Drosophila melanogaster: one gene and its partners. The protein of the gene in region 1 interacts with the protein of each later gene in a pairwise test. Each region holds a gene or a part of one and is shown in the gene's direction. Other genes may lie near its edges.

Region 1 (10,853 bases):
TTCTCTTCTCTCGAAAGAGAGGAAGCCTATGTGTGCGTGTTTATCCGACCAATCGGAGGCGAGAAGAGACGACTGGAACTGGAAGCAACTGAGACTGCCTGGAAGGCAATGTATCTGACGGATACGTTTTACCACTCTGCCAGCTGCGTGGAGTTTTTTGGCAAATTATGCGGGTGGCTCGTCGCTGTATCGTCGCTTTCCCCGCTTTCCCGCTCCTCCGCCCACTTTCGAATATTTTGTTGGTTTTTGTAGGTGGAGCCAGAGCCATAATACCATTCCTTTGTTGACAAAACTTGGCACTACTACTCGCTCGCTGAAGTTTGTTTTTGTCTGCTGCTGCCGCTGCTGCTCTTTTGTTTTTCGTATCTGCCAGATACGCGCGCACATCCCGCCCTGCAGGTTGTATTCGAGGTTCAGCGAAAAGGTCGTCATTCTCACGGTTGTTTCCCATCGTCGGCGTCGCGTGCGCAATTCAGTTCAATCCAATCCAATCCGTTCCGAGGAGCTTCAACTAGCGACGGCTATCCGCGAGATACAAGTGCCCAGTGGATACAAGTGTCGCCTAATTGGATTACAATGCTCAAGTGTTGCCTGTTCGCAGGGCTTTCGAATCGCGGAAAACTCATTTAGGAGCAGTTGAGGTTTTATTGGATATTTTTAATTATACCACCTAATACCTGGATTAAAGAAGCTGCTTCAATTGGAATATGGTTGTTATGTAAGTTCTAAATAGTCCCTTTTTCGGAGATTTTCAAATGTAAATTCGAAATTTTATTGCCAAAAAATACTTTTAATAGGACAATAATCATATACTTTGTTCTCGAACCTTTTATCAAATATAATGGTAATTATTGAAATATGCTTAAAATAGGTTTCACTAAGTTTCTAAATTATTCTGCTTGGAACCCAAAGGAATATGGATTAAAAATTAATTTGCTCACATTATTCAAGGCATAGAGCTACCGAAGAATTAAAAAGCTCTCAGTACAAATGTTTCAAATTATTGCTGATCTGAACTGTGCCGACACGCGTTAAACCCAAGCCATCTGCGTAAGTGTTGAGCTTCCAAACACCTCAGATCAATCTCGGATGAAGAATGGGCCACAAATCAAACGATAAAGAGGCAGCGGGGGAGGTCAGGGAAAATGTAAATGATTTCAAACGCTTTATTATCACGCTGAGCGCGTTCCACAGCTTAGTTAATGGCACTCCGGTCCAGTCCAATCCGCTCCAAAGAGCCGCGGGGTGTGCCTCGTATTTTGGATGTTGGATTTCGGAAGGGGGATCTCGAATCTTGGAAACCGGCGGACCACACACAGTCGTAGGCGGAGCGGCGCTCGAGTGAAAGGGTCAAAGAGCCGATGATGATGATGATGCCCCCCCGGCCCCTTCGATTTATAGAGACATATTTTCTAGGTGACAAACTTATTATGAGCCCTGGACAGAGGAGGCCCAAAAATACAGATCTCGAACGAAGTGAGACGCTATCAGCATCAGATAAGCCCAACTAACGAGCGCCCCGAAGTGTCGAGCAGTCAATTTACGGACCCAAAACAAAGCGAGCCACTAGCCACGAACAGGTTCAATCGGGGGAAACCAAAGACCACCAGGCGAACCGTAGCACAGGTATTTGGTGTGTGGTTCTTGGTGCTAGATGCTGTGCAACCTGCTGACTTCCAAGTACACATAAAAACACTCAGGGGACCGAGGCGAATCGATCCATCGGCTTCGAAATCGATGGAAGACAAATTTATTGCTAATTGCAGAGCTCGCTCTCTAATAACTCCCACACATGGAGAATCTCGGCTGAGGCCCTCCATCGAGTCTAGCGATTCCCAGCTGACTCACGATCGGAGTGTCGGTTTAATATGCATCTCCGCCTCCTCAACTGGCGCTCGAATTACGATTGTGGCCAGCTTGGATTACCTGGTGCACAAGATTTGGGGCTAACGGTACCAGCCCTCTAAACTGGGCCTAAATAACCATGCGTTTCATGAGGCCCATAAACCTGGCAAACGTTTCATTTGATTGGTTTGTGTTGGGTTGGGATGGCCCCCTACGAAACAGTTTAGGGCGCAATTAAGATAGGATTTCAATTCCTTAAACGATGCTTAGGCTTTGGCGATAAAGTCACAGTTAAATGGATCACTTAAAGTTTTTACTCGATGTAAAGAGTTTTAATGTAAATAAATTCGATTTAAAAGTTAATGCTGTGACTCACAGTTTTGCCTTAACTTAGATTCCAAAAGGGCAGTGGTGTTTTTTTATTATGTGGCTACTAGAAGTGATATAAAAATCTGAACTCAAGTTAAAGTATGTTTTGTGCTCTTTGGCAAAATTCAAATATAATAATATAGTATTCTTAACTATGAATATAAAATGCAACTTATTATATATAAAATCCTCTACAGAAATGGCTACAGCTTCAAGACGCAGCAACTTCTCACACAGCAACCCGATCATTCTCAGCTTACCCAGTTTGTCCAGCCCCAAAGTCAGAGTACGCATTCGGTGCATCCGGGTCCAAGTCCTGGTCAACAGCAGGCGGGTGGCTCCATGACCATGCCGTCGTCGTCGACGGGCAAGGGAAAACGGGAGTGGGACATCAATGATGCCATTGTGCCACATGTGCCGGACCAGGAGTTCGACGAGTTCAACGAGTGGAGCGACGGGCATGTGAGGCACATCTATTCGCTGCACAACGAGGAGGCCAAGAAGCACATTTCCGGCTGGGCCATGCGCAACACGAACAACCACAACGTGAACATTCTGAAGAAGAGCTGCCTGGGCGTCCTGGTCTGCTCCCAACACTGCACCCTGCCCAACGGATCCAAGATCAACCTGCGCCCAGCCATTTGCGACAAAGCCCGGCGGAAGCAGGAGGGCAAGGCGTGTCCCAACAAAAGTTGTCGTGGCGGTAGACTAGAGATTAAACCGTGTCGCGGTCACTGCGGCTATCCGGTGACCCACTTCTGGCGGCACTCCGGCAATGCCATCTTTTTTCAGGCCAAGGGAGTGCATGATCACCTGCGTCCGGATCCGAAGAACTCCAGTGTTTCCAAGCGGGCCTTTGGACGTGTGCCGCTGGCTGGAAAGTCAGCCAACGGATCAGTCGCCAAGAAGTCGGTCATTGCGGGTCTGGTCAAGCAGGCGAAGGTGAGCTTAGATAGACATTCATTCACCCGGGATGTATCATCTTAACCATTCTTCTCTGACGACAGCAACAACACAGTCTGATTAGCAAGGTTCTTAAGCGTCCTGCTGTCAGCAATCCTCTGGCTCACACCGCATTGGATATATATCAGTATAATGGTAGGTATATAAAACAAGAATATTTAAAGATTTCTTTTACAATTTGTATCCCCCATTAGCCTGTGGCAAGTGCGCCGGTTATAGCCACTGCACTTGCAGCTACCTGGATGACAGCACCACGGCGAGGAGCCATCAGTTGTCACAATCCTCGAATTACGGCACCAATTCTTGGCCACTAAGTGGATCCGAGTCATCGGCACCCTGCGAGACGGCAGCTAATGTGTTTACGGTCAACCACCAGCACATCACCTATAACTATCCCATCTACCATGCAACTCCAGCGGCGGCCACCGCGGCACCTAGTAAATCTCCCAGTTTGCCCTACGCCTGCAGCATTTCGGAACTGGCCGCATACCAGCAATCCTCCAGCGGGAACAGCTTTGCGATGGGTGTTCCCGTGCACGGACACACACAATGCCAGGCAGTAGCCTATGATTCCAGCCCGCAACTGGCCACTCCGGAACCGGAGTTCATCAACTACTCGCAGATCAAGCATTTGGGTGGTGGCGGTGGTCAGGAGGAGATCAGCTGCAAGGCCGAACCGGGACCCACCATTAAGTACAATGCCACCGTGGAGACGCAGCCGTATGTGGAGGACAACTACGATTACTACTATAGCCCCAAGGCGGAGTACGAAATGCAACAGCACCACCACCAGCAGCAGCAGAGCCACCAACAGTTCGGTGGAAATCAGACAGCGGGACATCACTACTACGAGAGCAGTAGTGGCTATAATGGAGTCAGCTATTTCGACACAGGAACTACTACGGCACCAGGAAATACTGCAACCGGAAATGGCCTGGAAGTCGGATACGGCGGCTACTACGATCACTACACCAGCTACGAGCAACAAATGGCGGTAGCAGGTGGATTTGCCACTGCCGGAGGATCCACTGCGCCGACAGTGGCCGCGCCCCCTGGCCATCCACCGCCTCCACCACCACCGCCCACGCTGACGTACCACCATCACCATCACCACCACTTGCACCACCCAGCAGCAGCTACAGGCCTAGCCCCATCGGTCACCCATTGAATAGTACTTAACCAATCCGGACACCGGAGGATTACTCATAGTCGATAGCTAAGCATAGTAACATAGTGTTTAAAATAGTGGTGAAATCTTAATTTCCATCTGTACGTGTAGTGTTAAACGGTTTACCAATTGTTTTTCTCGGCAAATAAATTATGAAAAGTGTTGATTTGTAAAAGTAAATGTATTTAATTTAAGTGCGTAAATATAATTTCTTATTGCGCGACCAATTCAAACATAGCTAATTTTCAGCGGTCATGATGGTGCGGTTCTTGAAATCAGAGATAGATGTCGCGCTGTAAAAAAATTGTTGGTAAGAACCATGTAAAATGTAATGGTAAAAACCATGTAATGTAGACAAGCAGGTGCTCACTTAACCATAACTGTAGTAATTTTAGGACGCATTTAATGATTTGTAGTTTAAAATCGATAGATAGTAAGATATACTTTAATACGAATGATGTTTTATAATTGGCGGAAACATTTAAAGAAAAACAAATTGGCTGCCAAGACCCAAATTTTGTACCGCTTACATGGCTTGCAGTTTTTTTTTAAAAAGCCTCCTACCGGTAAGAAACTGAACTACTGCAGAGTTGCTTTACGATAAACTCACAATGACACACAGACACAGACACACAGACATAACCAGACTAAAGAGAATAGTACTACAAGTTATAATCGCTATCTTCAGCAAGAGGATTTCACATTTAAAGTAATCGCATAGTGGCCAGCAAAACCTATCGCATAGATGTGCCAATCGGTCTATCCATTCGAAATTCACCTTCACCAAACGCGACATACACATATGCAAAAAGAGAGCGTATAGCAATGAGAAGCGTGAGCGTGAGTAAAAAATCTATAAAAGCAACTGCGACGTGCTCATTTTGGTAAAAAATTTAGCTGTGCTGCAAAGAGCTGCCCGAGTGGTAATTAAGTAACTTTTGTACATTTCTACCGGTTCCGTCTCCACATCTCCCATCCAACATGGTGTACCAGGTGAAAGATAAGGTGAGTCACTTCAACCGGATCTATGGACGCATCACATCCGTCATCTATTGGGTAACTCGATAGCGCTACCCTTTGACCCCTCAGTTCCAGTTACACGTTTATTTTTTCGCTCCGGACTTTGAAAATATGGCATTGGAAGCGGCATTCCAATTAGCCACTTACTTTGAATGATTGGATTCGCTACGCTTTTTGCCATACGCTCTCCCGCGAATAGAAGGAACTCACGTTCGGTCTAGACGAGCGAGAAAGCGGAGAGCAAACGAGAAAGTTCCGAATAGCAGCACAGCGAAATGATAATGATATCATCCCGTGGACCGCAAAACGGGTCTCAACGGAAACCGAATTTTGAAATTGAAATATTCCGGACCGAGCTAATCGGAAATAGTGCGAACAAGATATACGTACTATAGAAACCACATATGTACGGATGTGTGTGCGACTGGCATGAATTTGCAATTCATTATCGTGGTCGAGGCCTGGTTTTTTGGTTAGAAATATTTCGAATAGTTGCTATAGCACAGGGTGTGCTCTCCACACATAAGTTGCGCGCCATGCAAGTTGATCCAAAGCCAAGAAAACAAAAGACGCGAGTGCGCGGGGTGAAGAACCGGTTCCATTTCATGAATACAAAGTTACGTCAGGAAATATTGGGAAGTAAATACGTGAAAGCATGCCTTCTTATTTTATTTCTCAATATTAGTTTATTTATATTTGTATACACACTTAAACACTATCAAACATTGACTCTCGCGGTCTAGTTCTATACAGCAAACCACACAACAATAAGCTCAAAAATCAAAAAATGCTTATCGAAGGCATAAGGAATCCACGAAAACATCAAAACATTTATGCATACTGAATTAGACAATATAACAAAGTAGTTTAACTACTGATTTTAGTTTTTTATGTTTACTCAGATATTGTCTTAAAAAATGAGTCAGCAATACATGTTGACAAATTGAATTGTAGCCAACAGTCATCGAGTACCATCACCATCTTGAGATTAATCATTCCATGACGTATGTGTCTGCAATAGAAATGATCTAAGCCTGATTAAAATATGTAATAGGGATGATCAAGTGGTTTTGTGCTAGCAAAAATAGCGTGTATAAAGTTAAATTTCTTGGGCATATACTTATGCAAATTCCTCCAAACCGGTTGCCCATTCCAATTGAAATCGTCAATTTCATTAGAGCTCTGTGCTTGCATGTGCTGTTCTGCGATTGGCATCGCTAGCAATTAATTAAAGGTCATTGGGAAAACGTGTCACGGGCAGAGAAATGGGTGGAAGAAAGGGGATGGAACTGCCCACGACCGCCACACCTTTCGGCATACATACATATAATTTGGAAATTCTTTAAATATTGATTTGCTTTGCTGCCCAATGGGTGCAATACAGAAACTGAAATGAAATTGACCCGATTTCACAAGTTTATGAAGCACACACACATATTTAACCCGTCAATCGGCGATTATTGGGGCTGATTACAGCTTGGCAACTTTGGGGATGTCTGACAACGTTGTGTTTGCAGGGAACAGGCTTATCGGGCGAGATAGTAGCGGGGCCTCCCCAACGCAATATGTATATTTACAATAGCACCGGATCAATGCTCCACAATCGGAAATCATAAAGTTTGAAAACATGACCACCACCTGCTAAAGGGAAAATTACTGAAACATCTCTAGGGAGTGGGAAATTATTAGCGCTAATGTATGATGATATTACTCAGAGATAGTACTAATTTACATTTTCATTTGCAGGCCGATCTCGATGGACAGCTGACCAAGGCATCCGGCAAGCTGGTGGTGCTGGATTTCTTCGCCACTTGGTGCGGACCCTGCAAGATGATCTCGCCCAAACTGGTTGAGCTTTCCACGCAGTTCGCCGACAACGTCGTCGTCCTGAAGGTAAATCTAAAAATGTGCTCAGCTTTATTTTATTTGCTTAACACTTTTTATGGAAATCCTTACTAAATGCCCTTCTCCTACAGGTCGATGTGGACGAATGCGAAGACATTGCAATGGAATACAACATCTCCAGCATGCCCACCTTCGTGTTCCTCAAGAACGGCGTCAAGGTCGAAGAGTTCGCCGGAGCCAACGCCAAGCGTCTGGAGGATGTCATCAAGGCCAATATCTAAGTGGGCAGCGCATAGACGTCTGGCCGTCCCCCTGATCCACCTATGAGTTTTCTTCATAACATTTAGTTAATTAATTAATTCCATAAGTGCAGGGTTTTGCTCCATTCCGCCTGCTCCGCCTTGTCCTTGAATCCCTTAGAGCTGCAGTGCAGTTCGCAAGGTGAAGGTCAGCAGTGGCAGCAGTTGGAACAGCAACAAACGTGAGAAACTAAGTGGCTTTTAAACGTAAAATTTGCTTTGTTAACAAAATCAATAAATCACACAAAGATTGTTCATTTTTGTATGAAAAACATTAGAAAACGCAGTTGTAGCCAGTTGTCCAAGAGAATACGCTAAACAATAAATGTATTACACACTCGCCGTTTGTAACCGATTAAATTGTTTTGCAAAATTCTGAAGGGGAACCTGGGGTGAGGTCGGATCTAGGAATGACACATAAAGTTGTGAAATGAAAGCCAAGTCAAATATCAGTAGCCAACAAGCAGACAAATGTCGTTACGGTTAAGTAATAACGATTAAAACCGGGTAACTACCGATTAGATAAGATACGGCAACAAATTTGTATACTCCAAAGGCATATCAAGTGCGTGATCAAAATGGCCATTTCATAATTAAAATCCACCAGATTAAAGCTAATTTTAAAATTTCCATTTTGAGAAGGCTCTTTTTATCTGTCAAAAAATATATTTTTACATATGTATATTGACAACGAAATTCAAAAACAAATTATATATTTCCTTGAATCCGTGATTGAACTATAGAATATCACTAGGCATTATTAAAAAATTTAATAAATAAATGAACTTATTTGAAAATGAAAATAAGGTAAAAGGTACCTTTCTTGCGATCAATAATATCAAAAGATTTAAATTTGTCCAAATTATGTTTGACAGCATATCGAAAGTTGCCAAGTTGATTCTTGCCATAAAGTTAAAGAACGAAAGTAAATGGGAGACAATATAAAAACAAAGTGATTAATTAAGAAACTATTTTTAATTAATTCAACATTTATTTTAAACATTTGAAAATAAGCCGTTAGGCTTGGACGAACAATCGATACTTGGCTTAGTGGGGACAAAAACCGAATGCAACACTGCGCCAGCTGTGTTGGTGGTGGGAGCGAAAATTGCCCGATTTTTCAGTAGTGTTTTTTTTTCAGTAGTGTCAGACTCTCGGTGACAACAACACGTCGGGAAATTGCATCGCTGTGGAAAACAATAAAATAGAGCGTGAGAGTGAGAGACAGTCGCGCGGGTGTCGGTCAGAAATAAGCAATATTTTCTGTGATTTTTGAGTGTGACGTCCTGTTTTGAGTGCTTCCGCCTCGTAATTCGCGGCATTGCTGCGGCCAAAAGTTCGCCATTGGATGGTTTTTTATAGCAACCAGCGCGCACGGAAATAAATCGGAGCACGGGGAGCACCCAAAGTGCAGAGATGTCGAGGCAATTTGCATAATTTTCGGGTGGTCGGTCGCAGCTAGAAAGTTGTATAATAAGATTGCGAAAACCAGGAGGTACGCCCGGCTCACCACAAATGGACGGGGAATGTTGTGGCAGCTCCACCGCGTCCACCAACACCACAACCATCGCCACCACCACCACCCCAGCTGAAAGCGCCTACACCATCGTATCCCAAAATATTTCAATAAATGTCTAGTGCCAGGCTACTCGAGTCGCAGACATCCGACGAGGATAACGAGGACATCGAGCGGCGGCCTCACCAGAGCCATTCACGCAGCTGCAGCAACAACACCACCCCCACCCATCCACCACATCCCATGGTCAGGAAGGGGGGTGTGGCCAGGAGGATCTGCCTGATAGGTGGGGCACTGTTCCTGCTCCTCGTCGCCCTCTGCTACCTCACCCTCAGCGGGGACACTCGCCTCGGTGGCTCCGAGGATTCGGAGGAGGGATCTCACCATGGATTAGGTAAGCAGCGGATCTCAGTAATGGAATCCCGCCCGGCTGACTGGCTGTTGAGATATACTCGACCTGACAAGCACGAGGGGGATGACCGGAATCCAGGTGAAGAGGAGTTCCCAGGGAATCTTAGTCATAGAGCGCAAGAAATCTACGAATATGAATGGAATTTCAAGATAGAAGAGCAAACGACCAAGCAAATGCAAATCCGAAATAGGCATCGTTTCGATCCCAGAATCCGTGAGTCATGCTTGTACTCTAAAGTTCCATCCCATGGGGGCAAATGCAGTTGGCGGCGCTCTTTCACGACTGCTGGCCGAAAGTGAATTGGCCACTCTGCCACCACTTTCACTTTTCATTTTGGCCCACTGCCAATCAAAGCCTAGTTCACCCTACGTTTTGTGGGGGACTTTAGTGAACGCCCTACGTTTGTTTGAATTAGAAAACAAATTTTACCTGTTATGTTATTTTGTTCTTTTTTTTTTAACGAAAGAAGAGAGAGCTAAGAACATTTGAGCAGTTAAAGCGCTTTGCCAACTGAGTGGCAATACAGACTGAAAAAAACTATAGTATCCGAAAAAAGTTTATTTATTATTTATAATACTCACGTGATATCGAAGCATTATACATACATACATAAGTCGATGTGACTGCACCACTTCACTTCTAAGTTATTGGATGCGGTAATTATCGCGTGAAACGCGTCGGCTCGTCGCTGTTCCGACTTTGGCTACTAGTGAGTCAGGTTGGGCTTTTTATTATTTAACCGTAATTGGATCTATTTGGTAACTATTGTCTTCGCCAAACGCGATGTACATATATATATATATATAATATATGGAAGTAGCCCACCCACAAGCGCATGCAGCGGCAATTACATCGATTCGCCTGTTGGCCGTTTTTTATTGCAATGAGCGAAAGCCGGAACAAGGTCAAATTTTCCAGTTTACTTTGCATTTTTATTGAATGGCCCATAAAAAGGTTAATCTGTTTTGACCACTTTAAACCTACTGGTTTAATCTAATCAGACAAACCTTTTCGATTTTAGGTAACAGATTTGTTTTGTATCTGCAGCCTATGTTTTAGTTATTTATTCACGAGTTTATTGGCTAATAAAGTTCTCGAAATACAGCTGAATTTGCAGAACGAAAATGCGGCAATCCAGATTCAAGGCTAATATGCAATAAGGTGGACCATTCAAGTTTGCGATCAATGATCGGGCTGGCCGAAACAAAAAAACACAAAAAATAATCATGAATCTATCTTCATCTACGGAATTTGTTGCTCGAATCAACGGTTGATTTAGTCAAGAAAATCCAAATCAAGTGCGCGATTTGAGTGGCACCAATTGTCTAATTGCACATTTCCCCACAATTTCCCAGATTCTAGATTGCGCAGTGCTCAGTTCTGCAAAGAAAAAAAGCTTTTAGCAGTTTTTTGCCT
Region 2 (10,003 bases), on another chromosome or scaffold:
TTATATGTATATTTTTTAGGAATTGCGAGCGCTTACCTTTCGGTGGCCGTGCTGGCCACTTCGTGGACATATTTGGGTTCGATTTTGGACTTGTAATACTGCTCCTCCCAGTCAGAACTGTTGATCACAAGCACAAGATTGCCGGAATCGCTGTAGGCCTTGAGGATGCTGATTACAACGCGGTCGTAGCTCAGGCCCCTATGGTATTTCAATATCTGGGTTAGACTGGACTATAGGAATAGCACACACGACTTACTTGGCGCAAACCAGCAGACCATCGGCCTCGACCAAATCGAGAAACATTTGCTTTTCGTAGTCGAGGAGGACCATGTTCTTACGCTTCAAATACTCCTCTACGCCCTCCTCCACCTGTGGGACGGTGTCGGCGCTGGCCTCCACTTCCTTCGGCCGCTCATTTTCCGTCCCTTTGGCGGCATTTTCCGCGCACGAATCGGCCATAATTAAATACAATCGCTAAGGATTTAATTTCGCAAATATGCCGGTTCAATCAGCTGGTCGTGGTTATCGGTACCGGTTGTGACAGGGCTGCCAGACTACCGCGATATGGTTAGAGAACAAAAGGTTAATATATATGAAAACTTTTTTTTTTGTCTCTAATTCAGTTAAAAGTTTTATTAAATTTGCTCATTTAGCGCAATTGTTTAGATACAGCAAGCGATTTTTGTAAAAACATAGAGACATACCTTATAATCCACTTACCCCATGCCATCGATACGGCAATATTTTGTCTCTAATTCAGTTAAAAGTTTTATTAAATTTGCTCATTTAGCGCAATTGTTTAGATACAGCAAGCGATTTTTGTAAAAACATAGAGACATACCTTAAAATCCACTTACCCCATGCCATCGATACGGCAATTTTGTCTCAAATTCAGTTAAAAGTTTTCTTAAATTTGCTCATTTAGCGCAATTGTTTAGATACAGCAAGCGATTTTTGTAAAAACATAGAGACATACCTTATAATCCACTTACCACATGCCATCGATACGGCAATATTTTGTCTCTAATTCAGTTAAAAGTTTTAATAAATTTGCTCATTTAGCGCAATTGTTTAGATTCAGCAAGCGATGTTTGTAAAAACATAGAGACATACCTTATAATCCACTTACCCCATGCCATCGATACGGCAATATTTTGTCTCTAATTCAGTTAAAAGTTTTAATAAATTTGCTCATTTAGCGCAATTGTTTAGATACAGCAAGCGATTTTTGTAAAAACATAGAGACATACCTTATAATCCACTTACCCCATGCCATCGATACGGCAATTTTGTCTCTAATTCAGTTAAAAGTTTTCTTAAATTTGCTCATTTAGCGCAATTGTTTAGATACAGCAAGCGATTTTTGTAAAAACATAGAGACATACCTTATAATCCACTTACCACATGCCATCGATACGGCAATATTTTGTCTCTAATTCAGTTAAAAGTTTTAATAAATTTGCTCATTTAGCGCAATTGTTTAGATTCAGCAAGCGATGTTTGTAAAAACATAGAGACATACCTTATAATCCACTTACCCCATGCCATCGATACGGCAATATTTTGTCTCTAATTCAGTTAAAAGTTTTAATAAATTTGCTCATTTAGCGCAATTGTTTAGATACAGCAAGCGATTTTTGTAAAAACATAGAGACATACCTTATAATCCACTTACCCCATGCCATCGATACGGCAATTTTGTCTCTAATTCAGTTAAAAGTTTTCTTAAATTTGCTCATTTAGCGCAATTGTTTAGATACAGCAAGCGATTTTTGTAAAAACATAGAGACATACCTTATAATCCACTTACCCCATGCCATCGATACGGCAGCTCGCAGAAATCATCGATAACCCGGCGCGAATAATAGTTGTAACAGTAGGCACGTGCAGGAACGTTTTGAATACAGGTATGTGTAAAAAAAGCAATATCATTCTGCTACTAGTCAAGCTCATAAGTACGTGTCTACAGCCAGGCGTGAGTGTTTAAGACTTTAAGGATTAAGACCTAGTGTCGTTTAAAAAAGCTGCAAAATGAAAAAGGCGACTACTTCCGCGGCCGCCAAGTCTCAAGGCAACAGCAAAATGCAGAAAAACGCAAATAACGGCACAGCTAAAGACAAGAAGAAGCCCAATCTAGATAAAGAATCGAATGATTCCAATTCGGTATCTGATATGCTCGCCGTAACCAAGGACCAAGAGGTGCATGCCTTTTTCTCTAAATTATTCGACGATGACGCCGGTCCATCAACATCCAAAAAGACCCAGTCAGGGTCAGCCGCAGCCGCTAAGACCGCAGATCGCAAGCGACGTCTTCAGGCCGAGGCGGATGCCAACAATAATGATACCGGAAAAGCCGGTAAGTTGACCAAGGAATCGGAAGCTACTCAAGGAGCCAGGGCCACCAAACGCAAGCAAGCACGTAGTCTGGGACTGGAGCGCACCTCGCCGATCCAGGTTAATGGCGCGGCTTTAGCCTGCCCTTTGGTGCGCAAATCGCTGCCCCCAGGGGAGGCCAATTCCTGTCCTCAGCCGCCCAAAAAGGACCCAGCAGCCGTGAACTCATTAGTTAAAATAATTAAGGCGGAACCCACCGAAGAGGGCAATAATAACAATGACGAAAAGGAGACTGAAACAATAGAAACTCACAAAGCCGACAGCGTCGAAGAGGGTCGTCGCGTCCTGCAGTGGATACTCTTTCCGGTCCAAACTAAAGTCTTCTTCAAAGACTTCTGGGAGCACACCGCCTGCCTGGTGCAGCGCTCTAATCCCAAATACTTTCAAAGTATGATATCATTCAAGATGCTTGACGAAATACTGATTCGCCATCATTTGGACTTCACCGTCAACGTGGATGTGACCACTTACAAGAACGGCAAGCGTGAGACACTGAATCCCGAGGGTCGTGCCTTGCCACCAGCTGTGTGGGGCTTCTATTCGGACGGCTGCAGCATTCGTTTACTGAATCCTTCCACCTATCTAATTCGCTTGCGTCAGGTGTGCACCGTTTTGCAGGAGTTCTTTCACTGCAAGGTGGGGGCAAATCTATACCTAACCCCACCCAATAGCCAGGGCTTTGCGCCCCATTACGATGACATCGAGGCTTTCGTTATCCAAGTGGAGGGACGCAAGCGCTGGCTTTTGTACGAGCCGCCCAAGAAGGCCGATCAACTGGCCAGGATCTCGTCGGGCAACTATGATCAAGAGCAGCTGGGTAAGCCCATAATTGATGAGGTACTAAGCGCCGGCGATGTACTATATTTCCCGAGAGGCGCTGTTCACCAGGCCATCACCGAAGAGCAACAGCACTCGCTGCACATTACCTTGAGTGTTTACCAACAGCAGGCATATGCCAATCTTCTAGAGACACTAATGCCCATGGTTCTTAAGAAGGCCGTCGATCGGAGTGTGGCCTTGCGTCGCGGCTTGCCGCTGCACACTTTTCAAGTTTTGGGCAATGCCTACAAGGGAAATGACTGCGGGTCGCGCAAACAGCTGGTGGAGAATGTGCAGAAGCTGGTGACCAATTACTTGATGCCCTCCGAAGATGATATTGATGAGGCCGTCGACCAGATGGCCAAGAAGTTCCAGCACGAGGCACTTCCGCCGATCGTATTGCCCTCGGAGGAGGTGCGCACTGTTCATGGGGCACGCAGTGATGCCGATGAGCAGGGCAACTGCGTCTGCGATTACAAATTCAATAAAAAGACATCCGTGCGCCTGCTGCGTGCCAACATTCTGCGTCTGGTGACCGAGTCCGATGGCAGCGTGCGTATCTACCACCATGTGGACAATGGCCTGGATTACTGCAAGTACGAGCCCTATTTCATGGAGATTCTGCCAGAGGAAGCTAAAGCCGTTGAGCTCCTCATATCGGCCTATCCATTTTACCTCACCATTGATCAGTTGCCATTGGAGTCTTCAGCTCGCAAGATAGAGGTCGCCACCGCCCTGTGGGAGCATGGTCTTCTTATGACCGAGAAGCCGTTTAAGTAGACGGCAATCGAAAGCGAGTTGCTGTTGATAATTAGAATTAAGTATCGATGCGAATGTGTATCTAAAACGAGCGTAAATTAATATTTTTGTATAAATATGTAACCAGATTTATAATGCTCCTATTCTGCCGAAAATAAAGCACCCACATTCGCACATATATCTCGGTTGTTTTTTGGTGTTTCCAATAGTTGTAAATTTTATTTTTTTCACTAACAAAAAATGGTTATCTTAGGCGCTGCGGATTTTCTTGCGTTCACGATAAAGGCTTTCCTGTTGAACTGAAAAAGAAACATGGGCAACATCAGTGCATATGCATAAAGTCAGTGATGGCCGGCACTCACTGTACGGATCGAAGCGTATTATCTCCAATTTGTCGGCCAAGCGATCGCGAAAAGCATTAAACTGATGTCCACTGACCACACTTTCCAGTACGACCATGATGCGCCTGTAAAAACGGTTGGTTTTAACAAAAAGAACAAATTGGATGTCCAAATTACTCACTTGCTCTTCACCTTTTTGAACAAAACGTTAGTTAGACGCATTTTGATTCGGTAAATGGGGAAAATGCAGTGAATTATGGAAATATGCCGCTGAAATTATTGTGCAAGCAAGACGATAGGAACGAAGAACAGCTGACTGCGCCTATCGATTACCACCCGAGGGCTCAAGCTTTTCACCCGGATATTTTGAAAAACAATCGGTGTCCACGTATGATGAGTATATATTTAATATTACTATATTTATATTTGATGCATTTATGTCTCTCTGTTTTAAAGCCTTCCTTTCGAAATTGCTAAAAAGCTCTCAGATGCAATGTGGTTAGTAGAAGTCATTCACATATGTATCTTTGGTTGAAGTCCCTGCCAATTAAATATTAAAAAGTTAACATACAGGTTTGAGTCCGTGCTAGAGACTGCAAGCTGTGCCACTGAGGTTAACAGAAGCCAATCGATACCAAGCGCAAGCACTGAAATGTATCGTCGAGAAACATCGGTGGTCAATGCATTCGATGCTTTTTTACATCACTAACACTCGTGCGAAACGGACGCGAATTTTCATTTGTGCTGCGGAAACCAACAACAACAGACAACAAATAAAAACAAACGAAAAACAAAACGGTCAAAATTCCGTGTAAAAAAACTGAAGCCTTGGAAAAATAGAACGAAAAACATAGACGCACTAAAAGCTCAGTGAAGTCCTTTGTGGGCGAAACCGTATAATAAAATAAATCACAGCCACACGCGCTTTCTGTAACTCCTTTTCGCCTTGCCCTGCTCTTGTTTTCCCTTTTAAATATTTTTTTTACGAGTTGGTTTCCCGAGAATTTCCCATACTCGCGCGTGGTAAACAAGACTCATTTTTTTTTTACAGTGTTTGTTTTTTGAAAGTGCAGAGAAGCTGACAAGAAAGAGATAACAACATAAAAACAGAAACAGCCAAAGAGTGGCAACAACAAACAAACCAACCAAACGGAATCAAAGTCAAACAAACGCGAACGCGAAGGAAGCTTCAAAAGAGAGACAAGAGCGTGAAAAGGAGGTGGAGAGGAGCTGCGGAGAATCTAAGGTAGGAGGCAGATTGCGAAAAATACGTTTTTTTGTTTTTTGTTGATTTGCATTTGCATATTCAAAAGTTCTCTGTTTTGAGGGTTGCAGAAGCGAAATTAGTTTTTAAAGCCCGCTTAGTAGCCAATTTGCCGGAATTGCACATTGGAATTCAGTGTGTTCCTAAGTACATAAATCACTAAAAACTAACGGCAAAAATTCAAATAGCTTTCAACAAATATTTACAATTACTCATTGATAAAAGTGGTAATGTGATCCATGTGTAAGTTGTTAAATTATTTTCGTAGCGCATTTGTACGAATGAAAGACTGCAGTAAAAGTTTTCGATTGCATGCAGATCGCTTTCCGAGTTTAAGAAGAAAAGTTGTGGAAAACGTTTTCCTTCTTTAGAGACATCAACTTAATCAAATATCGAACAGCTAGTAAGCCATTGAAATCACATCAGTTTCTTTCTGTGCATCTGGCAAAGTGCTTGATTGTTGATATTTCGAGAGGGGGTTTTCGAAAAGCGATCGGAAATCCAAATTGTAAATGATTTACCAAAAACGTAAACTTGGCCGTGACGAGGGGCAAGAAATGGTCGAAACGTGGGCTGGAGCGGAGCAGGAGCAGGTGAAATACATAAACAAACAAGTGCTCGAAGGAGGGTTAGTTGTGGGAGGGGCTACGCAAATACATAAGTATATGAATAAATAATATAAACAAAATATTAAATTAGAAGAAATTTACTTGCGCGCACGCCGACGCAAACACGAACACAAGGTGCTGGTTGTTGTTGTTAGGATGGTGTGGATATGTGGTGGGGAGGGAAAAGCACACATAAAATTGAAGTATTCAAATTTACACACGCAAAAAACGACGTCGGCAGAGCAAACAACAATTTGCCAGTCCGCCAGCCCTCTCGCTCGCACCCATCCGCACTTGGTCGCCGCGTCTCGCTCGCACTAACGACGGCCACTTGTTTTGCCCTCTGTCGACGTCCACGCAGCCACTGTGCACTGAAAGAAACAAAAGACATGGTACAACATATTCATGAATCGCTTGTAAGATTGATATTTTTTTATAAACGCTCACTTTTCTGTTAACAATACAATATTTTACTCGAAAAATTTAAGAGTTTAAAATATTTAAACTTTAGTGTAAAATCACTGAGTTATTCGACACTGTTATTTCAAAATAAAAAAAATAATGATTTACGACCGATAAACAAAACAAATTTAAAAAAATTGAGCCGCAAATACTTTAAATCATCCAATTCCCATTTAGCTTTATCATTTTTTTTCTTTTTAATTTTGTAGGTGTTAATTAGCAAATACTCATATTTTCCATCTCTCGCCCAAGCTGCAAATGTGCATTATTCAAGCTCTACTGTAGTTCTACGTAGCTTACTTTTTGTGGCAAGTGTGGCGATCAGAAGCTTTATTATGCTTCTCCCTCATTTCCTTTTGTTTGTTTGAACTGCAACCGAGCGAAAGGGGGCGTGCCAGTGGGCGGTGGGTGGCCTGGGATTGTGCAATAAAGCTATAATAATAAAATAACAAACAAACCGTTAAAGCGAACGCCGTCGCACACTCATCGCACCCACACAAACGCACCATAGGTATTGGTGTGTGGCTGCATGATGGGGCGGAAGAAATGGAGAGGAGAACGGCAGGCGAAGGAACAATAATCATATTTGCACTTGCTCTCTCGCACGATCATCACCCACGCAGAAAGAGCGGGCAAGAGCAGCAGAGAGCGCCGGTACAGTAGTCATTCGTCGCACGTATATAGCTGGCCATAAAAGTGGATAGTCATCAATGTGTACTGTTTAGTTTCATAGCATTTATAGAGCAGTTTAGTTTGTTCAATATATTCATATGCAGATTAATTATTTAAATCAGCACTTATCCGTCTGCACAAAAAGGCCCCACTGTACTTGAGATAAAAGTTCTCCGTTGCTGGCTCTCCGTTCTCAGTTGGTCAGTGGTCGTCCGCCGGAGCTTTTCCCGTTAGTCCGCTCGCATAATATAATCCGCGATAAACAAGGGAACACGGCACGGAGAGAGAGCGAAACGGCAACGTGTTTCGTTTTGGTGTCAGTTTCGGTTTTGTTTGCCGCATGTTTACCCATTGTATTATTATTACCTGTTCTATTTCTTTTTCTTTTTTTTATGTGTGTACATTTTCACAGCAATCGCATATTTTTTGCAGTGGCTGTGAGCTGAAATACAAAAAATAAAAAAAACAAGTGCAACCAAATACAGTGTTACCTGTTGTGAGTAAACTTAAGGAAACGTGGAGAGAGCGAGAGAGTGCGACAGCCGACTGATCAAACTGTAAATCTTGCAATGCTCTTCAAACTGAAATTCGCAAGGCGGGAAAAAACAAACAAATATAAATAAACAAGAATAACAAACAAAAATAGGTAGCAAAAGCAGGAACAACAAAAGCCGAAGCCAATTAATTAAATACATATCTACGTAAGTTAAACACACAAGCCAACACGAACTATGATCAGGACACTGAGAGAAAAAGGATGCAACTGTTTGCTATTGCAAAATAAACTGAAGTAGCATACAAAATGACATGTTTGATTTTAGATTATATTGTGAATTAAAAAGTTCTTAGTCATGACATTCATATTTCGGGGTATCTTAAGTTCATTTGCAAGTTCACTGAGTCATCGCTTGCTTTTAAAATATTTATTATTCCCCAGAGACTACATTATTAAGTCGCAGGCATTATAAGGGATTTGAAAGGGCGGCCAAGCACATGCCTCATTTTGTAATAGATAGTGCATATGCATATTCCCAGTTCCGGAAATATGTATTGTTATCTCTCATATGGAAATTGCTTGGTAACAATTTATGGTCTTGTATGCAGTAAATAATCTTGAATTATCGTAAATTATCAAAAATCGCCGAGGATTACCAATGCGAAGATAAAACGTTGGAGTTTTCGCCCTTCATTTGTGCCTAAAAAAAAAAAACATCGCTTTGTTTTGTGCCTATATATAGAAGCCCGGGTGCAGAGTGCAGGTGTTTGGTTTGTTTGGTATTCGTAGTTTTATATTCGTCGATGAGTAGGCGAAAATATCAGCGGGCTGAATTACATTCCTAATTGCAGATTAGTTTGTTAATAAAAGTGTCCGTCCAACGTCGAGTCTCCGTGCTCCATTTGGCATATCCATTTGGATGATACAATATACATACGTACATACATACATACATACAATGAACACCATTGCCATTCGCACTTTCATACCCATTGCCACAATTATGGTTCGCATTGTATTATGCATTTATCGAGTTAAGGCCTTTGTGCCTACGTCGACTCAGTTCACCTCGCTTGAGTTGAGCCAGCGATTCCGTAATTCGGATGACATTGGGCCCTCCAATGAATGCCAATATTCGAAGTGAGCACACGGCGTATGCGTAATTTTTGTAAAGCTTTTCCGCACTTTGTATCATATTTACTCGACACTCTTTGTGTCCAATGAACATATCGTCAGTAGCTACTTGATCAGTGTTTATTAATTAAATACAAGACCATTTCAGTGTTAGGCTACTAATTATTGAAACAAATTAATCCCCAAGTACTTAATGCAGAGTTACAGTCTACAGTTCAAAGTAGAGGAGAAAGCACATTGCTGTGTGCAAAAGTAATGGGTATTTTATTGACCAAATACAAACAGTCATAACATTCTGGCAGGCTATTGGCTATTCACTACCAAACTGTCAATCGTGTTTGAATACCATTTCGAAATTAGAATGAATTGTGTATTTTGCGGTCCGCCGCAACGAAACTATAATGTGTGGGGACAGTCGTCACATTCGGATGTTGCAATCAAGTGAGTTGGAAAAAATGGGATTTGGACATGCACGTTATGAGTTTATTTCGCTTTAGTTTTATTTTAAAGCAAAAAGGAAATAAGAAAAAATGTAAAGTTTAAGACTGGTACAAAATTTATTCGAAATTTGTTTTTCGTTTAGGAAAAACCGTGGGCACATTAAAGATGAAATATATCTAATATACGCATAAAATTTGTGGTATTGTGTTGCTCAGCTACCTGATTCCTAGTTAATACGCTTCTCATTCGTCGTTGCACGTCCCTGGATGCGTAGCCAGAGTCCTTTTCGCATCCTTCAGCCAAATCAATACATTCTAGCATTTAGCAAAAAGATGGCGACCATGCCTATTCGGAGTAAATTGTCCTTCATTGGGGGTGTGGTGAACGATGGCGCCACACAATCGAGTATTCCGGCCACCACGTGGTATATGCAAGAACGGAAAGACTGCCATTTGACGGCAGCCATGTATAAGATCAGCCGGCGAGTAAAGCTCATTTTCTCCTTCAGACTCGAAACCTCCTTCTGCAGTTCGACTTCCAGTCCGGTTTGGCTCAACGTCTCCCGGTACCTTCTGTTGGAAAACGTTTTTTAACAAACGATTTTAGTGAGAAC
Region 3 (10,015 bases), on another chromosome or scaffold:
CTCGTTGGACGGTACGCCAGCATCCTCGAAGGAATCATCAATATTTTCGCCACTCGCACGCAGCTCATTATCGGATTCCGGAACGAATTCACCCACCTCATCATTGGCAGGATCGATTTTGTCATCTACGGCTGGCTTCTCTGTGGCCTGAGTGGCTGGTGCGGCAGCTGGTGCGTTCTGTGGACGATTGCCGCCCAGGAAGTTGATAATTCCCTGCAGAGGATTGCCACTTTGCTGGGCAGGCGGTGCGGCAGCCGTGGCATTGTTATTGCCACCGAAAACATTGTTGACAAACTGCTGGATGGGACCTGGTGGACGCGGAGTGGTGGACACCGCCTGCTGCTGCTGGCCAGTCAAGCTGGACAGGGTGTTCTGGAACTGATTGCCCAGGTTGCTGGCAAACTGTTGGATGCCCTGGAAGGCCTGGGTGGTGGCATTGACGGCACTTTGGGCCGCATTTTGCACGGCCTGTTGGGCGGAGGTGATGGCGGCCTGGGGATTCAGGAAACCGGGCACCGTGGGAGCCGGAGTTGCAGGTGCCGCAGCGGCGGCATCATCCGCCTGGACTTGTGCTGCTGCTGGAGCGGCAGCAGCAGCTGGCTGGGGCTGGAACTGATTGAGGAACTGACCAATTGGCGAGTTCTGGATCAACTGCTGGACAAAGTTGCCCTGGGTGGTGCTCTGCTGGGTGGGCGTGGCTTGGGTGGCTTGACGGACCTGAGGATGCGCGGCGTCCTGGTTTTCCGACTGCTCTTGCTCCACCGGATTCGGGGAAAGTTCCTCGGCAGGCACAACGACAGTCTCTTCAGCTGGCAGAGATTTCAGAATGTTCTGAGCAGGTTCCTCTTTGATTTCAGTGGCCTCTTTTTTGATTTCTGGCTGCTGAACTTCTTCTTTGATTTCCTGAGGTTTCTCCTCAGCTTCCAGGGATTTTTCCTTCAGCTCCAGGGGCTTAGCATTAGGCAACTCGTTGATCTGCTCTTCAATCTTCTCCTTGAGCTCCTCCTTAATGTCTGCCTTTAAATCTTCCTTAATCTCGTCTTTTATATCAGGCTTAGGCTGCTCTTTGATTTCAGGCTTAATTTCTGGCTTAACTTCCTCCTTGAGATCCTTGGCTTTCTCTTCTTGAGCAATTGGTTTCACTTCCTCTGGCTTAACTTCCTCTGCCTTAACTTCCTCTTTGACCAAAGACAAAGCTACTGGTGGCTCCTTATCCTCGACAATGGCCACAGGAATATCGATCGCCTCCTTGGGCAAGTTGAGTACTCTGGCTTGGCTAATGGCCAGGAAAACCAGGATCAAGGCAACGGGCTTCATTATCGCGACTTATCTCCTATATCTCCTTCGATTTCAAGATGTGTTCACTAGCGCCTCACGGCCGCAACTGTTTGAAATTTCTTTAGGCCCATCGCATTTTATACAAACCACCGGCTGCGCAGCCGCCGTCGACTTTGTTGGCAGACAAACAAGCACACAGGGCTAAGGTATGAGCAAGAGGTTGGGGAAAAGTGGTAGTATCAGTGCCATCGTCTTTGGCCAATTCTTGCACACTGAGTGTCATTGAACTGGACCAAGTTGGTCTTGCATTGCACACAGGAATCGAGAATCAGAAGCCTTTTTGGCCACGAAGCTGCACTTGTAATTGGCCAAGACGTTGGGACAGCGAAAAGGGCTGGGACCATCATCAATCATGTTTGTTTTATCGGCCATCAGTGTTTGTTTTACTCAGGGCATATAGCAGAAATAAGTTTATAGGAGTATAAATAAGAAAATAAAAAAATAAAAACTAATTTTGGGAAAAAAGAAAATAGGGTTTTTTCATTTGAATACTTTTTTGATTTTCAAGATTTTGATTTCAAGATTTTGAATACTTTCCTTGTTTGTTTAGGACTGTAGTTATCTATCTTGTTGTCTTAGGATTAAAAACTGTGATTACTATTAAATTTTACTGAACTGAGATAATCTTGGGATAAGCTAAACATCCGTGAAAAAATCTATTGCTGTGATAATTGCTAAATGTTTTTAAAGGTTACAAAATTTCTCACATTGACCAACTGTGCAGCGATTAGTCTCTGTTGCAGTCTTCCCTGATCATCGATTGGTGCATGCAACTCCCCCTTTTCCGCAGGTTTTCCACTTTTTCACTCTCATTCCTTGTTGACTCGATTCCAGGCAGCGACATTTGATCAGCAGATTTTACTGGTTTTCTTGTTTGGCTAAACGCTCCTACAAGAAACGCATTTGGCCCTATCGGCCGTTCTGCTGACTGGATGGTGAATCTTGAGCTCATTGGATCTTTGGTCTTCGATGGAAACCCGTTCCCCAGACCGACTTAAATGCAGTGTCGAGATGCAGACGCAGACTGGACGGAGAAACCTGCTCCGGCTATTTTTAGAGTCAATTAGCTTTGGACCGACTGTCTCTGCAGGGAAGATGCATCGCTGGGATGCGTTTTCCCCCGGTTCTGGGTTAATAATTCATTAGAAATGCACAGAAACCAAACCAAAACGCCCACAAGACCGGCGAACAAAGCTCCAAATGTGTTCTATGCAAATGAGAACATTTAAATGTAGTTAAATGGGTCAAACGTTTGATGGAGAAAACGTTGCTGTGCATAGAAGGAAAACTTATCTCCTGTCCACTTGGGACTTTCATATGGTGATCGATCGATCGATCGATTGAACCATTTGCAGCTCGATCGGCGGTGGTCAGAACTCGTTCTGTGGCCCTTTTGGCCAACAAGAGGTCTGCAAACAGGCCAAACCTGCAAGGGCCAAGACGATTTACAACCAAAGATGATAAAAAAAAAGAACGAAATTCAACTAAAAAACGAGGAAGCACTGATTTTTAAAAACAGCGTTTCAATACCCTTCAATTCGAGGAATTATAATGATTCTTGGCTGGTACAGCTTGATATGGGTTATAAGTTTATATAAGTTGAACTATTGCATATTGTTAATATTCCACAAGAAGTGCTATCAAGTATTGCTATTAAAGTTAAAAATATAAAACTAATCGCCTGACTATTTTAGTATACCTTTTCTGAGGGCATCAAGAGCAATCAAAGATCGAAGTGGATTGCAAAGGACATTGACTTGAAACTCTGGGATCTCACAACTGATCTCTTTCAGATATTTTATGACCCCAGCTTGTGGCTTTTAATTCTGCAACAAAATTGATTTCGGCAATGGGAAGAACACGTTTCCCCCCGAGTTACAAACAAAAAAAAAAACTCATTTCGGTTCTGTCGATTTTTATGGCTTTTCTTGGAGTTGGTTAATCGCCTTCTTTTTCTCTGATCTCTGGCGCCCAAAATATTTTTGCTCGAGTTTCGGTTTTTAGCTTTGATATTATGCAATTGCTAGCCGTACTCTTTTTTACACAATTGACTGTCGAATTAGCACCTCACTCACATCCAGCGACAGGTGACGATAAGGCGGGCGGGCAGTGGGCGTGGCAGCAGCAACAACAACACACATTACTCTAAACGGTGGCAACTTTCACTCAACAGCCGTGCGGAATACTAAAAAAAAAATCAAAAAACAAATAAATACCCGTGCAAATTGGGTGACAAAAACAGCAACAAAATGTCAGAAAAAAAAAAAAAAAAAACTGGGAGCGAGTGGGAGAGTCAGGCGATCTTCGTCATCCAAAATTACCTCACTTATCAACCTAAGCCGATTGTTGTTGCCGAAATATTGGTGTCATATTTTCTTGTCAAGGTCACAAATTTGTTGTCAAATTGTAAAAAAATGTTTATTGGGTCTAAAACAATAGTGAATAATTGTAAACGAATTTCTGCCAAGGTCAGTTATCCCTTTTGAACTTCGAGAAAAATATAGAAAAAAGAGAGTTTAGCCTTAGAAAAATTTTCAGTGGCTTTAATATTTATGTTGGCTGTTAAATAGGTTTGGAGTCGTAATAAAAACGTTGAATTCAAAAATATTAAAGAACTCAAGAAAATGTTGTATTAAAACTATAAAAAACATTCTGTCAAATAACATGATATTTTTATATATTAACAAAACAAAAATGAAGGAACAATTTTATATTATTGTTATTTGCCCTCAGTTGCAATCCACATTTCTTTAAAGTGCAATATGAGAATTCAGTTATTTCATTGTTTTAAAAACTTTGAAAGCAGGCTGCCAGAAAGTGGAAAAGATGACTTTGACGTTGCCGGATAGTTGTATTTTAATGTACTGTTAACCTTGGATTTTAACTTGTTAGTTTCTATAAGATCTCTAGCTAGTTGCTTTACCGTTCCGATTAAAAGGCTAGAGGAACCGCATTGTTTCTTGAAATTTAGAGAAATTAGTATTGTTCTTGTAGAACTTAAGTCAATACAATTATTTTTTTTTAACAGAATTCTGTTACTTGCGTGCTGTTAAAAGTTAGCAGTATTTTCTGCAAAGTCATATGTTTTGGTATTTCTCAGCTGCGCCGCCTGATTTTTTGGCGCTGACCCCTGCCTGGCCACACTGGCGATGTGGTGTGACCAAATTCGTGCTCGCTCCGCGAGTCGCCGTCAAAAAACAACTGTGAAATTGCACAAGAAACTAAACAAATAATCGCGTAAAATTACCGAAAACATGTGCAGCGGCCGTTAGCAGCGTGCGGCAACTAATCGAGCCAGTGAAAACGTGCAGGTGCGAGCGAGAAAACACGCGTACGCGTCACTAGCAACAACAACAAACACACAGTGCACCAACTCTCGCATAAGCACGCACACACACACACACACACGCGCGCACACATGCATAAACACCGACGCACATGCAACAAAAATAAAATAAAAACAAAAGAGCAAGCGAAATAATAACAGAAATAAATTTGATAAATTCAATTATAAATTAAGGCAGCTGCTTGTGTGCTAAGCAAAAATATTAAATAGAAAGTCTTGGCCACTTAAGTGAACCAAAATTAGAGAAGCAGCAGAGTGCCCAAAATATCAATATATAGATTTGATATCTAAAAGTAACGAAAGTTAACTTAAAACCTTAATGGTGGACAATGGATCAAAAAAACAAAATCCCTACTAAAATAAATTCCAAATACTTGCTAAATGAATGAAACCCGCAAATAAAGTCGATTCTTACCAAGATAACCAAAACTAGCTTCATGACTTTTAATTCTTGTTGTTTTAATTTTTGTGCACTTCCTGGTTACGGAACACCTGGAAAACCCCATCCTCGCCTTTTTCCACGCTGATTAACAAATCTCGCGTTTTTCCCCCCTATCAGCTGACATACGCATACAAAGCCCATCCAGTTGCCACCCCCTACTTCTTGCACCTGTAAAGAACAGGTGACTAATACACTGCTCGCGAAGTTTGTCAGCTGCTGGCGCCGTGGAAGCAACAACAACAAAACTAACCACATCCACATCGGCAACAACAACATCGGCTTTCTACAGAGCAGCGACGTCGGCGTCGGCAGAGGCCTCTGCCTGCACAACACCAGCAACAATAAAATCAAAAACTAAAACTATGGCCACCACCACCACAACAACAACAACAACGGGGGCAACAAATGCTAAAGATGGTGAGTTATATACTTAAAAGGATTTAAGATTAAAGAAAATATATCACAAGAAGTAAAACCCTTAAAAATCTTTAAAAAGAAACAGTAAATGGTGACCCACAAAAAACTGAAGCACAGATGCAAGGGTGCACATACAAACGACAAGTCGGTTAAAGTTCAAGGCGAACGAACAATTTAAATTGCAGGTTTCCGGTCAATGCCACTCTGTGTAATTAAACTAAAGTTAGTTGGTCGACCTAGATATTAGTATAACCTTTGGCTAAGAAAGACTGACATTTAAAGGCAATTAAAGGAAGGTTAGGTTTTAAGAAGAGCCATAAAACTATGGAAATAAACATACAATATCTTTAAATGTTTGGAAGGTTTTTCATTAAGGTTCTTTCATCTCCAGATGGCGGCAGAGAAATTAAAAAAAAAAACAAGTAAAATTCCATAATTCGCCCGCTTATCTGCGCTTTTCCAAAGACTTGCACATTTGTTTGCCCGGTACACAAGGCCGTAATCCTAATCCCTCAAAAGCTTAATCTTTTGTTTTGTATTCCGGGATCCGGGCAAAAAACCCTGAAACAGCAATCCCCACCAACGCATCTGACGTAACTTGTTGAGCAACCACGATTGCTGGCCGATTTGTTTTTGGACTTCTTTTTGGGCTGAGGAAAGAAGAAAAGTTTTATTAATATCAATAACCAAAAGAGCGAAGCGAGGGCAGCGAATAAGGCAAGAAATTAATGAATGCCACTGGTCGCGGGGAATAAATTTGAACAAAAAGCGAGGCACAAAGCAGCAAAAGCAAAACAAACCATAACCAGCTTAACAACGATAATTAAGAAGTGCCGGCCAGCAAAAAAAAAGTGTAAAAAATTACATACGAAATTTAATTGCCAAGGCGGAAAATGGTAGCATGCGGGGGGCAACAAGGGGGTATGGGGCCATGGCGAAGGTCAGCTAGGGGCCTGAAGGTCATAGGCATTTTCGACGTTGTCGTCACCTCTTGAACCCGCTCGAATTTATTGATTTTACACGCAGCAGCCGCAAAAAAGAGAGGAATAATCACAAAAACAACGGCAGCTACAAAATCATGCATATTTCTCGTTGCCCGATGTTTTACTACACCTTGAACAGTGGTCATCGGGTATGGTGAGCTACTTAATTAAAAAAACTTTTCATTATTAAGTTATTGCGAGCAGTAATTGTTAACGCCGCTAGGTGGAGCTCGTGTGCAATCCCGATAACAGTGGCACTCCTTTTAGTTGAATAAATGGTATGTCATAGTGTTGGCACTCCACCAATGTTCTTTGTTTCGCTTCGCGAGCATCCACTGTAGCCTTTATTCATATTTGTGTGCCCCAAACACTGGCACACAAAGCCAAACACACACAGAGAGCGACTTGTGCGGCTTTTGCTGGGCACTCGAGTAGTTCAGTGCGGGGCTTATGCCAAAGGCCAAATGGAAAACCTGCTTTAAGAGCCAGTGAGAGAAGCATACGAATCAGTCCAGCCACTGCAGAGCCCAAATCCCCTCCATGGCCACAGTTTGATGCTGAAATCGTGTGTTGTCTTTGGGGCTTGATAAACTGTAGCAAGCCCACAAAAATCTTCTAATTAAATCAAAGCTAACGGTTGCCGTTTAACGGTTTTCGTTCATAAAACTTGGCCAAAAAATCTAACTCGCTGTTCTTTCTGAGTTTTTTTGTTTTGTTTTTGCTTAGATACCATTGCCAATTTTAGGTTGCCATTTTTATCCCAACATTCTCATTTTGAGAGTCATTTTCTGTGTTATTTCTTATCAACTAAAACAAAAGGCAAAACTTTGATAAGCCAGTTGACACAGCGGGAAACATGATTCATTTGAGTGGTTCACATATTACATGGACTTTGGAATTTTCACTTAATTTAATCAATACGTATGTAGGTATGCACAAGTGATCGTAAATATTTAGAGTATACCTGACAACAATAAAATGCATTTTTAAATACACTGCACTCTAGCAACGAATCTTGTTCAAATATTTATTATTCAATACTATGTATTCGTGAGTATGAAATGTAGTTTCTTCTCATATATCCCCCTTTATTAAGTTATCATCAACTGGAGTAAGGAAACACTTCTTTATCAGCTCACTCTTTCCCTTATCTGATTACTATTTACATAACATTTTTCTGTTTATTCATTTGACTCTTATTTCTTTTATCAGTTGTGATTTTGCTGCTTATCGCGGCAAATGCAACTTTACCCATGGCAAATAAAATAAACAAACATCATGTTTTTTTACACATTTCTCCAACCCAGTTGCCATTTTCAATTAGTGTCTACAGCTGAGGGTCAACACGAAATGCTCTATAGTTTTTTTCAGCATTCAGGTAACCGAGCGCCCAAATCGCTGATAACAGCGTGGTTTTTTTTTAATATTCAAATATTTAATCACAAAGCAGCAAAACCACACACGCGTGCTCTATGCTGGCCTTTTTATTTGTCGTTGGCTCGTCGGATAAATGCGAAGCAAATTTTTGCAATTAGTGGATCGCTAATAAACCATAGTGGGCAACAAATGGAGAAAAGCGGAAAAAAATAAACTCAAACAGCAGTTGGCATATTGACATATCGGTCGCATTCAAACTGAATTCCCACAGCTGCCGATGCTCCCTTTTTGTGTCTTGTTTGCTCGCTTCACGTGCTTCTGGGCCGGCTTCATTTGCCGAATGCATTTCCACCGGCTGGGCAGGCGTCATTTTTCAATTGCCCACCGACTCCTGTCGCTTTCCCAGCGCTTTCCCAGCCACGCCTGGAGTGGCAGTTTGTCATGAGCGAAGCGGCCAGGTGTCGCTTTGCTCAGCGCGCTTCCTGTTGCCCCACACAACACTCCTAAAATAAAGGAAAATTAACTTTAAATGTATTAACTTAATAGTGTTAAACCCAATCAAGTTGTACGCTATTTAATATTAATATGATAGATATTACTGGCTACCTGATTACTACATACCACGTTTGCTTAGTTGATTTTGATTTAAGCTTTCCGAATTCGTTGTGCAACACTTAAAACATCATAATTTTCTAGATACCTACTTGTAATATTTTCTTTGAGTGCATCAATGTAACCCAGGCACACTCAACCCAGCTCTGTTTTCGCGCCGGCTCTTGGGGATTGCAATTTGATTTGTGGGCGAGTCAGTTGCGGTGTGAAGACTTTGGCTAAATTGCTGTGAGACTTTACGCCAGACTTATGAATGAGTTTATTGTGCATTCTAACAACTTAACTGGGCCTTCAGAGGCTGCGAGTGCACAGCCTGCGCCCCGGTTATATTTCACATTTAATTGTAACGACTTGAAGGTGTCAAGAAGTTAACCCAGCTCAAGACCATCGGAATGCTTTAAAAGTGCATTGTTGCACTTTTGGTGGGATAAGTACGAGACTTTTGAACCACAAGTAACTCGAAAAATTGTATTATATTTCACGAAAATAATATCTTTTACCACATATAAGGCATTCCATGACCTCTACCACTTTCTTTCCTGGTTAAGTGAGTCACCAGAATAAATTTCCATAATTATAACCACTCAGGGTATTTAGTTTCCTTACTTGCACCAAAGTTCGCAGCTCATTTGGCATTGTGCACCCGCATGGTGCATTATATTTTACACACGTATGTATCTTCTCAACTTCCCAGCTAATTTGTCTTGAATTTCCCTGGCGCACACCTCACTTAAGTTTCCCTGCTCTTTTCCTATTTTTTATTTTTTATATTTTGTATTTTTTTCTTTTCTTTGCACTTTGGTGCTTCCGCGCTAATTTGCTTAGCGTAATTTGCATTTCGCAAATGCCATTCGAGGCGTGTGAATAAAAAAAAAAAAACAGATACAACAAGAAGGCGAACGCAGGGAAAAAAGTGTAATTTGCTGTCAGACTTTAATGAATGGCCCGAAGTCCATGTTAAGCTCTGTTTACCGAATATTGAATATCCGCCCCCGCCGCCCTAATTGCTGCTAATTACGCGCATAAAATTCACCTCAACCCATTCCAAAATCGTCTGCGTCCATTCTGGCGTTCTGTTTAATGTTCCCCGCTTCATTACGATTTTCATTGCTCGAAAGAGCCAAAAAAAATAAAAGAAAAATATAAAAGAAATGGAACTGAAGAAAGCGCTGAAAGGCCCGGAGTTCATTAGAAAGAAATGCATAACTCGAGGGGGCGAAATCTTTCGGGAGCATCTTTTTGATAAACTGGTCGATGCAACTGCTTCAAGTATTTCCATTTGAATTTCCACTTAACTTTACATCGTTGGTTTTCGCCCTTTTTTTGAGGGAAATCAAATGGCGCGTGGTCGCATAAAATTTGTTTGCTTTCAGTCGGTTTGTTGCTGCTCGAGTCCTTCCGATTAGTGATGGAAACGTGACTGGTACTTAAAGTACCTTAGTTCTTTCTAATATTGTTCGAATAGGTAAATTAAAAAAATATGCATACGAATATTGAACA

Evidence for each region.
Region 2: the proteins of Trx2 (region 1) and NO66 interact in a two-hybrid assay, tested with the Drosophila melanogaster proteins (one large-scale study listed by BioGRID).
Region 3: the proteins of Trx2 (region 1) and Eip63E interact in a two-hybrid assay, tested with the Drosophila melanogaster proteins (one large-scale study listed by BioGRID).

Annotation. Positions count from the first base shown.
Region 1 is NT_033779.5:9,608,191-9,619,043, forward strand, and holds Trx2 (thioredoxin 2), read left to right. Parts: upstream 1-4,975; 5' UTR 4,976-5,185; intron 5,186-5,223; exon of another isoform or gene 5,224-5,242; 5' UTR 5,243-5,326; coding exon 5,327-5,350; intron 5,351-7,111; coding exon 7,112-7,258; intron 7,259-7,341; coding exon 7,342-7,491; 3' UTR 7,492-8,214; downstream 8,215-10,853. Other genes in the region: gcm2, read left to right, coding at 708-718, 2,412-3,156, 3,222-3,312, 3,372-4,345; GlcAT-S (glucuronyltransferase S), read left to right, coding at 9,140-9,650. UniProt on the Drosophila melanogaster protein: Participates in various redox reactions through the reversible oxidation of its active center dithiol to a disulfide and catalyzes dithiol-disulfide exchange reactions. As a reducing substrate of peroxiredoxin 1, thioredoxin 2 is preferred over thioredoxin 1.
Region 2 is NC_004354.4:4,317,597-4,327,599, forward strand, and holds NO66 (nucleolar protein 66), read left to right. Parts: upstream 1-1,841; 5' UTR 1,842-1,907; intron 1,908-1,969; exon of another isoform or gene 1,970-1,973; 5' UTR 1,974-2,031; coding exon 2,032-3,993; 3' UTR 3,994-4,149; downstream 4,150-10,003. Other genes in the region: mei-9 (meiotic 9), read right to left, coding at 37-198, 257-459; mRpL33 (mitochondrial ribosomal protein L33), read right to left, coding at 4,222-4,271, 4,335-4,438, 4,495-4,535; CG12693 (uncharacterized protein), read right to left, coding at 9,695-9,962. UniProt on the Drosophila melanogaster protein: Oxygenase that can act as both a histone lysine demethylase and a ribosomal histidine hydroxylase. Specifically demethylates 'Lys-4' (H3K4me) and 'Lys-36' (H3K36me) of histone H3, thereby playing a central role in histone code.
Region 3 is NT_037436.4:3,511,286-3,521,300, forward strand, and holds the start of Eip63E (Ecdysone-induced protein 63E), read left to right. Parts: upstream 1-4,465; 5' UTR 4,466-4,649; exon of another isoform or gene 4,650-5,243; 5' UTR 5,244-5,488; coding exon 5,489-5,543; intron 5,544-10,015. Other genes in the region: ImpE2 (Ecdysone-inducible gene E2), read right to left, coding at 1-1,317.